Neurospora crassa OR74A: one gene and its partners. The protein of the gene in region 2 purifies or fractionates together with the protein of the main gene of each other region. This does not show direct contact. Links are inferred from orthologs where the notes say so. Each region holds a gene or a part of one and is shown on either strand. Other genes may lie near its edges. The genes, in order: scon-3, NCU01188 and scon-2.

Region 1 (3,770 bases), on a different chromosome or scaffold from region 2:
CGGTCGGTTCTCAGCTGTGTTCTTTCGGCGGGGGGAAATATCCTGGAACTCGATCCTTGTTTTGGGGGAACGTAAACTTTCGGAGTACTATGCTTTCACGGCAAACATTTAGAAGGACGGTTACTGGGGGAATTAGGATCTGAAATGAGAGAAAACGTGGTGCACGAGAGTTGATTCCCATATTTGTTCTACCCATGTTCTCGGAACTGTGCTACAAAATCGGTCTATGTACCATGTCGTGTGCGCATTATATCAAGGTCTGTGACACCGAGGGGGCTTGATCAAAAGACGTGGGCAATGTCCAAATCAGCCCGCCTACGTTCCATCAACGACTTCTGTACCCTTGGCTTGTATAAAGCGAGTAAAAATGAGCCATGATATACAACTTGGGTAAGCTCCCTCCTAGTCTCTCTGCAATCTGGACCATTAGTATGTTGTTTGTGTGCATGGGCAACTCCATGCCATCCTTGCGCCTGGCCATGGTTGAGTTCAAAACGCCAAATTGTCAGTGAAAAGGGCGGTTTCTGTACCTACCTGTTTTACCGGGAGCGCTCTAGCATGGAACAATGGAGGGTAGTGTGGATGTTGGCTGACTTTTCTTTCCCCTACTCTAAGGCCCATTTCTTCCTGGTGACTCCGCGCCTTGAACCATGAATAGCTGCCACGAAACAGAGGGTCGTTGTTGCTATCATTAGACTACAGTTCACATGATGGGCGTATTAAGCGAATACGAGGTGCCAATATGTAGAGTATGTTGGTGGTAAAGGGGGCCATCATGGCAACAACACGGAACAGAATCGTGACGACGTTGTCGGCCTTTACGGTGAGGACGTTCTCAGACACGTAAGGACCTGATTCACAAACTGTATCATCATAAGAAAACCCTCGATTCAGCCTAAGAAAACAAGGAGCCGTAGAAAAAAGCTAGAGAACAACGCCTCTAAACGCCTGCCAACGCAAAGGTACGATCGAACGTACTGAGTGGAAGAGCTTCGTTTGTGGCCCTCCCAGGAATGCCCAAACCGTATCACGTCGTCGTCGAAATGCTGTCGATAACACGAGATGTGTTTGATATCCATCTCCCAACATAACAGCTCTCCCCATATCCATCAAACTCGGCTAAAGTGTGCGTTCCGGTAGACGAAGCACAGGGGTAACCTCTGTCGTTGGCAGACGGTGATCCCGGCGTTGCAAAGTGACTTGACGTGGAAACTGGTCTTGATCGGCTAACGGTCTTCCGCCCATTCGTTCTCGCGGCGAATCTGCTCCTCCTCCTCTGGAGTGAAATCATTTGTGATATTGAACGTCTTTCGAATCTCCTCAGGGGACTTGCCCTTGATCATGTTGGCAACGGTCTTGCATCCAACATCAAGGAGGGGCTTGATGTCCATGTAGTTGGCAGCCTGGATGAGGAATATGTTAGCATGATCTGACCCTGCAGAACCCGAGTGATGTTTGCATATCAAGTAGCATCGGCGGGTAGAACGAGGGAGAAACCTACGAGAATGATCTCGAAGAGCATCTCCTGGTCAACCTGCATGAACTTCTGGTCCCATTCGTCGATCTCCGTGCTCTTCTTACGGCTGTCGTTCTCGTCCTCGGTAGTCTGGGGCGGGTCCTTGCGGTGGTGCTCGCACCACTCGACAACCTTTCGGAGGACAGGCTCGTTGACGTTTGGTAGGGGAATAGCCTCGTTCATAACAGCCTCGTCGCCCAAATCCTCAATCAGGTTCTTGATGAGAAGGGATCGCTCGGCAACAACACGATCTGTGTTTGACGCCAGTTAGTCGGCTGCAGTCGCAGGGAAAGAAAAGGAGACAGGCCGGGTGGCGGGGTGATTCTACTCACCGACGGTGATGATTTGGCCATCGTTGCTCTGGAGAGATACCTTCTGGAGGGCACGTTCGTCGTTCTCCGCCATGTTGAATGTCTGTAGTCGTAGTCTTGACGTTAGAAGATACGTCGATGGATGTTGATGGGTTGAGTTGGCTGTCTATGTGATTGATGCTGGTGGTGTAAATGATGCAGAGAGGGGATAGTTCAATTGTGGGGGAAAAAGTGGGAGACGGTGTTGTCATATAGTTACCTGTTTGCGCAAATTCAAGCTCAAATGTAAAAGTGACCTTGCTCTGAGTTGCAGGAGGTTTGGCAATAATGAGAGAAGGAACGCACGCGGTGTGATTAACTGGCTGCAGTGCGTGGTTCTTATGGTTTCCCCGTGAAAGGTTGCCTGTAGTTTGCTTGGGCTAGTGATGAAAGTACAGACGGAGGTCCGCGTGAGTGCCCGTTGGCGGGCGCAGTCGGTCCTTCCAACAAACGAATCGCCTCTGCCTTCATTTTGTGGAGCCCGCTGCACGCAGTCCAATTGCGCGCACGTAAAGTGCGTGCATAGACCACCTAGCAATCCTGGCGCGGCCCCTCAGCTCGTCAGCCTTCTTGGGTTGAAATATAATGGGGTTGGGTGGTCAGTGCCCAGGCCCTGCCTGGAGAGACGGATGGACTTGCTCCAACACGGAAGACGCAGAAACGCTCTGGAGAGAGAACCTGACCGTTCACGTGCCGTTCCATGTACTAACCTTTGGCACCACGCAGCTCCCATCAACGGAACGATGGGACATTTGCACACCAGTGATTAGATGTAGTATTTTGAGTCACGAAGAGACGATGTGGGGACCGTCGTTGGCGTGATCTGGGGACATTCGAAGCTACAGATGTCTTCATGCTTGCAATATACACAAAGCATTGCATTGGATAGTAAAAATAATCAAAGACCGGCACATTCCACGTACACACGAATTAGGTTCATTGACAGCTGACTACATGCGGTTTCCCACACGGGGACTATGCGTTTTTCCAGATGCTTTATATTCACTATGTATGTTCCGGCTTAGGATGATACGCCCGCACGCCCGGTAGATTTTACCCACGCTTGTAAGTTGGATGTCGGGATGTCAATAGCTTCAGTTGGAAAAGCTCCTAGATGAAGTATATACATGATGGACAACTACATAATGGTACCCAAAATTGTCCTCTGCTACTCTGGCTTTTGTTGCTATCTTGCATCATTGATACGGATTGTCAAGTAAAGGAATGCAGCTTGAATGTGACAAAAGCTGCGGTACCTCCCGTCCAACGAGCACAGAAAATCAAACTTCCGTGGGAGGAAGGACAAGGGGTCAACATGAGGGCCTATCAATATTCAAGGCCGCTTTGCTGGAGATTTATTTCACACTAACAGACCAGGACATCTTTTGCTTACCATCTGTCCGTATCGCAGTATGATGTACATTCAGATCACGAAGGCGAAATGTCAAGATTCCAAAGCTGTGTCCCGGCGCGAATATAGGTACAAATAAAGCTGTACATACATACTATGTAACTCGTCATTCATCCATGGTCCGGCTCGCGCAGATCGACCAGTTGCTGCACCCGTGCGGGAGGAAATTACCAAAGTACCTAGACTCGCGCCAACGACGCCAACGAGCCTGCCGACTGGCCCGAATGCGGAGGCGGGCTATAGACAGACTACCCCTTCTCCCTATATCTAGACTACTTAACCACTTAGGGCATGGTTCTAAGGCATCTGATCTATATTCCCATTTGCTAACATCCTACAGTCAGAACTAGGCCAAAGTCTGTTAACCACAGCCGGTCATTTTCGAAAATTCTTCCAAGAAATAGTTGGTCACCTTTCTAGTCATAAGGCGATGCACTTTCACCATATACACTCCCTCCAAAAGAAAAAAAAAAAAAAAGATAGCCTTACGCCG
Region 2 (3,954 bases):
AAGTTGAGGTTTGCGTAGGCTACTCTGACTTAATGATATCGGATCGGCGGGGCAGCGATGGTGACCTTGATGGGCAGGGCCTGCGAGACGGGACCGGGGGTCCGGGGCAGGAGACGTTTGGAATGTACTATTTCTTGGCGTTTGTCGAGCTACTTTGCTGGCTTTAAGAGCGAAAAGGATGAAGTGGGCGAAGGATAGCCCTGCTTTTACTTTTTGTTGTTATTGTTGTTGTTGCTGTTTGGACGAAGACAGGGCGAACGAGATGATGGGAAGCCAGATTGGGATGTTGTTTGCCTTTACGTTGTCAGACAATGAAATGCAAGAGCTGCTTGATGAGGTACCCGAGCCCTGTACGTACTATGTACAGTAGGTACACAAACAAGGCGGCAGGGGCAGCTTTTGATTGATGGCAAAAACTGCGGGGAATGGGGGGAAAGGTATTGAGGCACTCCGTTAGGTTTTGGCTGAGGGCCGGGGTAAACGTGGACGATGACAACAAAAGCCAAAGAAGAGATGCATCATGATGATCTTGGAGCGTCGGGCAGGTATCCTTCGGTTTCTCATCGGTTTCGGCCTGCTCACAAATTTCACTTGCTGTACAGAAATGGGTATCTCATGAGGGGATGATGGAGGGGCTTCGGAGGTCAACTGCTCGGTCGCTGAGGGGACATCCCCAAGGCCCGGGCCCCTCTTCACTGTTATGTGTCAAGGGACGGAGGTCTTGGGCTCTGACATCGTGCACGGGCTCCAGACGGGCTATTCGGCTCTCTGAACTCAGCGATGCCATCGCGGGGCTACATCCGCTCATCGCTCCATGAAAACGAAAGTTGAGTCTATAGCTCTAGTCTAGACGTTTCCGCTAAATGTATTCTATGTTACTATGAAGCCAGACCGCTTCCCGTCTTTGCCAATGTCTTCCGCTGTGCAAGAACATTGTGGCTGAGGATAGGCAAGTACTTGGGTGACGGTGTGTCTCTGTATGTAAAAAAAAAAAAGAAAAAAAAAAAGCGACCAATGAAATTCCCACCAGATATGCCTGCTTGGGAGACCACGAAAACGCCCAAACACACCGCGAGTGTCCCCGACGCTATGCAAATATGACGGGTTGAAGCAGAACAAGAATAAGAAAGAGAAAGGTATATCATCACCATCCTGACCCGAACCAGACCCAGCCCAGCTTGACAACGGCGATAAAAACGGTTGCTGCTGCTGTTGAAGGAACAACAAGCAAGTAAGCAAGCAAGTCCTTCTATTGCTTGGAGTTGGAATCGTCGTCGTCATCCTCGCTCCCTTCCTCCCCGTCCTCAAAGTCCTCCATCTCGTCGTCATCCCCGGTGTCACTACCACCAAAGTCAAACTCCTCATCCGACTCGGCCCAAAAATCGTCGTCGTTCTCGGCCTTCGGAGGCGGCTTTTCCTCAAAGCTGACCGGCATCTCGAATCCTGGCGGGATATCCTTCTTTGATCTCTCCACCGTTTCCCGGGCCTTCTTGTTGTAATCCTCTCGGCGGTCGCGGTACATGACGCCCGCGTCCACGTTGGCGGGGCTATTGATTTCAGGGTCGTCCAGCAGCAACAGAACCGACCTCAGCACACTCTCGGCGCCCTGGAGCGGCGACCAACGCTCGCTAGCCTGCTCGCCAGACATGAGGTCCTCGCCGGGTGTGTGCAGGATCGAGATGCAGAGCTGGCCGTCCGGATACACATTGGGGTGGGTGATGGGGATCAGGAAGCGGAACTTGGGCGGCTGGTAGGGGTATTCGTCCGAAAATACCATCTCGGCCCTGAAGTACCCCCCGTTAAAGGCGCTGTCGGGGTTGATGACCATGAGGCCGAAGCGCCACTTGAGGATGTTGAGGGTCGCAGAATCGTCCTGTTTGCGCCAAAGAAGTGAGGGTCAGTCTAGGTTCCGTAGTGAAGGTATAGTGATACTAGAATCGACGTGCCGGTACTGCGCCCGCGAACGACAGACCGGCAAAGGAGAAAAAACGAACGGTACTAGGACGTACATCTTCAAAGTGAATCCACTTCTCCTTTCGTAGCGCCTTCATCTCACTCATCAGGCGCGTTGTAGCGCCCGACGCTGTTGTCCTGTACGACATGGCAAAATGTGGTTACGGAAGTGAAGGCGAGGTGCCGGTGGCGGAGGTTGACAAAAGAAAGAATGGGCTGCCGCTGGAAAAGCCCACTTTACTTCGTTGGTGGTGGCGGTGGTGGTGAAGTAGATATGTTGTGGTGGCTCGTCAAGGGATCGACACGTAAAGTGCTGACGAAGATCCCTCTCGTGCGCAAGATCGGGGGCCTCGAGAGGAAAATGGTGGTATTTGTAGTTTGAGGGGATGTTGGCAAGAGGCGGGCGGGTGTTTGGGGAAGATTGTTAGACGGTCGGTGGTGAAGGCCGGGGTGGGTATTGATCTTTTGAAGAGGGATGGAATGATAACGATAACCAAACAATGGGAACAGACTCTATGGAAGCACGGACGGTCGGGATAGAAGTTCACGGTTTGTCACGATGGTGGTCTTTGGGAAGTGGGTTGGAAATCAAGGGCTGGGCGGTGACAATCTGGAACAATAGAGAGGTTGCGAGTCAGGAGAAAGCAGGGTCAGACGGGAGGAAAAGTGGAAGGGCGTACGAACGTCACAACCGGATCAGGAAAAGGTGTGTGAACTACACTACTACGATGTGAGCGATGGAATCATGGCAGGGTCACGCTTCCCTTGGGTTCCTCGGAGCGAGGACCCGGATAGAAGGTTGGGCAGTCTCTAGCACGCACTCTCAACTTAACCTAAGTCTACACGAAGCAACCGACCCAGACCATTTGTGATGGTCCCGTCATTGCCCAACTTCCTTCTCCCATGGTGGTGCAGCAGCCGAGCTGAGCGAGGCACTGAGGAATCCTAACAACTGCATGTCTCGCCTTACGTTTGTTAATGGTGGTCAACACCGCTGCACAATGGCGGTCTCGGGCTCTCGGCATAGGTACCTACCTCTACATAAGACCAATACACCTGACAGGAGTATCGTCAAAGGAGGGAGGCCGTAATCCCCGCCCTTCCATATTATCGTATTGTAATTGCCCGTCAACCTTTACAAAGCAGGCGGAACCTCCCAGAACGGCCTTTTTTTTTTTTTTTTTCTCTGGCAAAGGGGGGGCCCATCAGACAATCATGTACAATCTACCCGCAAGGAGACGGGACGACACGACGGTGCAGTTCCTTTGCCACTGACAAATGAGCATCCCATGGTGATAGGGCATATTGGTGGTGGTCAGAATTGCAGTTATCGGATGTTTCAGAGGATGCACTAACAATTTCCCAAGTACACTAGATCCCGTCACGGTCCACTGAAGCTACAAAGAAGTGACGCAGTTCCATGTTGTCCTGTTGACTGCCCAGACAACAAATGATCGATGCCTTAAATCGAATCCACATTCGCATCTGTTTCCAAGCATCATATACCCGTCATTCACAACACTTTGCTGTAAATAAGAGTAGGTACAGGTAACGTGTTGCCCAACATGAGGGAAGAAGATGGATCGATTCGTTTGCATACTGGCAGCGGTTCCCATTTTCTCGTAAACCATGGATGGGAAACGTCCGTGCCAGGCAGTTAGAAGATCCGGTGGGTAACAGTAGGCAAGGACCTTGATGGTCAGTTCCTCCGCAATCGGTCTTCTTCCTGGCTTCTTGTGTGCGAACGAACTTCTTGTTGGCCAGCAGGGTGATCTTCCCGTAGTGAGATGGTTGGGCGTTTCACTTGTGACAGAAGGGTTAGGGTTCTGTATAGGAGGCTGACTCAGGTTGAGTTGGTGTTTCAGGGGATCACCATAGACGAAAAGCAAGAGGAACATCGGACGATTTGAAAGAGCAGTGATGCCTTCGGGTGGGATTACTAGCCTTACAACTGTATACCTATTATACACACATCCAACCCACCATCGCCAACGTATCCTA
Region 3 (4,083 bases), on a different chromosome or scaffold from region 2:
GGCGGGTTGCGCAACATACGGTCAAGACTGCCACTGATGAGCTTCGAATCGTCAAACTGTAGTGCACGAATGCCAGCCGTATGGCCGACAAGGGTCCGAATGCACTCCTCAGTCTCAATGTTCCCTGTCAGCAATGTGTTAGTTTAAAGCGAGCACCAATGTTTAAAGAAGCAAGACCACATACAGATCTTGATAGTGGTGTCGTACGATCCAGTCGCAAGGATGTTATCATCGAGCTGGAGACATGTGACACCATTCTCATGACCCTTGAGAACCGACAACTTGTATCGGCTGTTTTTCCAGTTGTAGCTGACCTGCCAGCGATCCCGGTAGACGGCCTTCCAGCTTCGGGTCTTGGGTTGCGTTACCGCCTTGGAGGCTTCTGCTGCAGCCATACACTGGCGCTTCTTGATGGGGTCCTCTTCCTCCGCCTCTGCTGCCGGGCGCTTTCCATGTTGATTGACGGATCGATCCTGGCTGTCGTGGGAGTCGGCCAGTTCTGTGACCCTCCCTTGTGGCCCACCCTTGGCCAGCTGTCTTTGTCTGGTGTAGTTGCGCAGCTTCTTGCGTTCCAGCAAGGGCAATCCCCATCCACACTTTGTGCACTTCCTGTTGACGTGTTGCTCGCACATGCGGACCCAGACGGCATCCGAGTCGGCCAGGGTTCGCCACCTCTGGCTGACCTGGGCGGCCTTGGTCAAGCTGACGGTGTCGAGATAGCATAAGACCTTTTGGGCGAGCTCGACGGGGAGGGCGGAGATGAAGTCGATCTTGAGGGCTTCGTTGACTTCTCTCGAGACGAAGGAGAGCTGGGGGAAGCAGAGCTGGGAGAGGATACCCTGAAGCATCAGGTCGCGATGTCGGGCAGGGGCGGCCGAGAACAGGGACCACACGTGGGTCACAGCTTGCTGATCCTATTATTTCAAGCAAGGTACCAGTCAGTCCACCAAACCTTGGAGACAAGAAGCAATCAATGTTTATGTTTTGTATGAAGACCCACCGCTGATGTGAGCTTGTCTAGCTCGCTCTGAATCATGACCATCTTGGCCTTGTCGGCAGCCCTTCGGCACTTTGAGTCGGGGTGGTGTCTATAGCAGTACTTGGAATTGGGGTTCTCTGCTCTGGCCGTCTCTTGGTTCCCCGGCTTGCCGATGGGGGCGTAGATGCTGGGAATGTGTTCCCGAAGGAAAGGCGTGACAGTCTTGCTCATGAGGACGGACGACATGTTGGTGACGCTGTTGCGGGAGCGCAACCTTGCCTGTTGCTCGGGTCGTTTGCGGTCGCAGTTTTGGTCGGTGGGATCGGAGTCGGTGTCGCGCGAGTGGTTGTTATGGTGATGAGAGTAGGAGTTCACTAGAGGCCCATGTTGGAGCGGGGCGTCATTATCATGTCCGAAGCTCGCAGTCGGACGAGACGGGGCGAGGTGGTAGGAATCCATTGGGAGAAGGGGGAGTCGAGGACCGCCGGGCCCAGAATGACGCTGCGATTGTGCGTTCTGAGGGGGAATTTAGAGTGCGTTTGCGGTTGCGTGGTTCTGTTGTTGAATGGCGGAAGAGGCAACACCAAGCATTGGTCGGCTAGAGGGCGATGGATGGCGTGCTGACCAGGGGACGCAGATTGCTGCTGTATGTATCGCAGTGCTGTCCTGTACACTACTGTCCTGCCTGTCCAGTCCTGTCCAGTCCAAGGTATGTACTAGTAGTAGGTACTCCCGTCGGTCAGGCTGGGGCGGGAAAGGGTATGTGGTCTTGCGTGATCGGGCTGGTTGATGTGAGGTGTATGGATGGATGCCCTGGTGTGGTCGATGTTTGGGCGGTCTACCGTCTCAAAGGTCCAATCTCGTTAATGCGGAATCCAGACTCGCTCCACCGTTGGGCAGGTCTAGATGAAGCTGGAGGAGGAGCAGAAGGAAGGCAGGGTCCCGCAGACAACAAACAGCAGCGATGTGATGCCGGGCAGCCCAACTGGCGATCTTGATGTTTCTGGATGGATGGACACGTGATGGGATCTGGATGTTGTTGGCGGAGGATTGGAGATGGAGCCCCGGGGAGGGAGGAGGACTGGAGGCGATCAGGAAGAGCTCAGCTGAGATGAAAGAGGGACCGTTGAAGGATTGATTCCCTGCCGTGGAGGTGGGCACGTTGTTGGACCTGTTGTTATTGGTGCGGTGTAAGTGTTAGTGCACTCTTATCTGGTGCAGCGCAGTATAGCTGCAGTTTGGAGGGCAATCACGTTAAGGAGGAATCGATGTCTGTTGGAGGATGACCTAGGACGGGAGCAGCGAGGATGTGGACGGGACAAGGTGGCACCTCACGCAATGCACAGCACCTTGGTCGCCATCGATCCGAGTCAAAGTGTTTAAAGGGTCTTTTTTGGTGGTTTACGTACTGTGATGATGATGACCGCTGCTGACCTATTTCCAGGTTCACTTGTTCCACTTCTGTTGTCCAAGTGGAATGTCTCAAACTTCTAGTCTCTCCGGCTTTCGGTGCCTTGCTGTCTCTTCCTTTCAGTCTGGGCAGCTAGTAGGTATGTGACTGCTCTCTTGCTCTTTGAAGGAAGCTACTGTAGGTGTCGGGTACGAGTGCCCGTGCTCCCTCTTTGTACAGTAGCGTAGAGGTAGGTATGTAACCGAATACCAGGTAAGTGACAGCTCTGGAACGGCTGTCGCCTGTCGGTGACGGATGGAATGGATGAGGTATACTACCTTAGAGAGAGCACTCTTTCCAAAATGGCAAAGTGGAAGTCTCGGGCAGTATCGCAACGGGGTGTTGAACCTCAGCTGTTGCTTCACACCGCCTGAAATCGGATGTGTCTTGACTTCGTTGCTCCTTCTCTCTGTGTGTGTGTGACTGTGAAATGTTGCAGACGGAAAGAGACAAGATTGGCCGTCGCTCTTGATCGCAAAGAGAAGGGCAAAATGGCGAAATCAACTGGGGTGGGGCGCGGGAAGCTCCCAGGTACAGAGTGGAGTCACCCATCCTCGTTTTTTTCGCTTTGTTGCTTTGTCGCCAGAATTGCGACATCACCGGGCCCACTGTAAAATGCGGGGATGTACTGGCTGTTATACTCTATGCAAAGCAGTACAGCAAGTATCTAACAGTCAAGACTCCGTAGCTCAATTCAATGATGCCAGTGCCAGTCACGTGCCATAGCCAGGTCCCTAATTGGAGGTTCAGCATCAACACCACGACACATGTCTCACGATTATTAAAACAAAATAAGCAGACTGTTGTTTCGCCACCAAGTGCATGGATTTCTAATATGGCGACTTTGAATTTTATCAACTTTCTCTCTTTTCCTCTGTCAACCTGACCACAGCATGCCTCCCGTCGTCGTCTTGAATCACTCGACCGTCTCAGCTTGACTGACCTTGGAGCGGCTTCATGTCGTCGACAGGAAGGACTCCGAAGACGGACATCAACGTCACTGCGGCCACAGTCCCCAGAGACCACACAATCCCAATCGCACTGTTGACGACAGCTTGATGTGGAGCGTCGTCTCCATTTAACCCAACTTGAATGGACGCTATCTACATATCCCGTCCTTCCCGTCTCCCCCGTGCATGTCAACATCCCATCCAGGCACCATGTCGTGATATCCACCCGATAAACATCGTGAGACAGTCCGGGCCGTGGTCAGCGGCACGGACATTTCCATTCTGGCTTCAATCTCGACCTCGGTGTTCTCGGAATAGCATCTTCTGCCTCTTTCCATCATGTTGACCCACGACAAGGTTGCTTTCCTGGGGAATTTTGCGGGGTGACCAAGTCTGGCTTCCGTTTTCATCATGATGGAAGCTTTCCAGACATTCGAGGGGTTTTAAAAGGCCTAAGCCCATGTCGGCTTGTGGATGTCGAAACAGGCTGACGGAGCTCCAGGGATAATATCTAGCCATGCCTGATAAGCACTGTAAGTTCAGACCTTGTATCAATGTACTCTAAATCTCTCCCTCCGTGATGCAAACAATTCTGGTGCTGTGTTTTCTCGTCGCAATGTCTCGATAAACGCACGTCGAGCTACACCAAAGACATCATTCTATATCAGCTACACACCACGCTTGTCTTGGATATGATGGCACAC

The links.
Region 1: the proteins of NCU01188 (region 2) and scon-3 purify together in Saccharomyces cerevisiae (affinity purification with western blotting; 4 studies listed by BioGRID, with this or other methods). This does not show direct contact. The link is inferred for Neurospora crassa OR74A from reciprocal best matches to the Saccharomyces cerevisiae genes CDC34 and SKP1.
Region 3: the proteins of NCU01188 (region 2) and scon-2 purify together in Saccharomyces cerevisiae (affinity purification with mass spectrometry; 3 studies listed by BioGRID, with this or other methods). This does not show direct contact. The link is inferred for Neurospora crassa OR74A from reciprocal best matches to the Saccharomyces cerevisiae genes CDC34 and MET30.

What each region holds. Positions count from the first base shown.
Region 1 is NC_026503.1:4,148,567-4,152,336, forward strand, and holds scon-3 (sulfur control-3 protein), read right to left. Parts: upstream 2,294-3,770; 5' UTR 2,087-2,293; exon of another isoform or gene 1,931-2,086; 5' UTR 1,922-1,930; coding exon 1,849-1,921; intron 1,768-1,848; coding exon 1,502-1,767; intron 1,404-1,501; coding exon 1,227-1,403; 3' UTR 565-1,226; downstream 1-564.
Region 2 is NC_026505.1:3,174,939-3,178,892, reverse strand, and holds NCU01188 (ubiquitin conjugating enzyme), read right to left. Parts: upstream 2,602-3,954; 5' UTR 2,103-2,601; coding exon 2,010-2,102; intron 1,874-2,009; coding exon 1,250-1,873; 3' UTR 643-1,249; downstream 1-642. UniProt on the Saccharomyces cerevisiae protein: Catalyzes the covalent attachment of ubiquitin to other proteins. Capable, in vitro, to ubiquitinate histone H2A. Mediates the initiation of DNA replication (transition of G1 to S phase in cell cycle).
Region 3 is NC_026503.1:4,897,080-4,901,162, reverse strand, and holds the start of scon-2 (sulfur controller-2 protein), read right to left. Parts: upstream 2,910-4,083; 5' UTR 2,389-2,909; intron 2,151-2,388; 5' UTR 1,439-2,150; coding exon 1,001-1,438; intron 915-1,000; coding exon 185-914; intron 125-184; coding exon 20-124; intron 1-19. UniProt on the Saccharomyces cerevisiae protein: Substrate-recognition component of the SCF(Met30) complex, an E3 ubiquitin ligase complex that mediates the ubiquitination and subsequent proteasomal degradation of target proteins. Negatively regulates sulfur amino acids biosynthesis genes expression.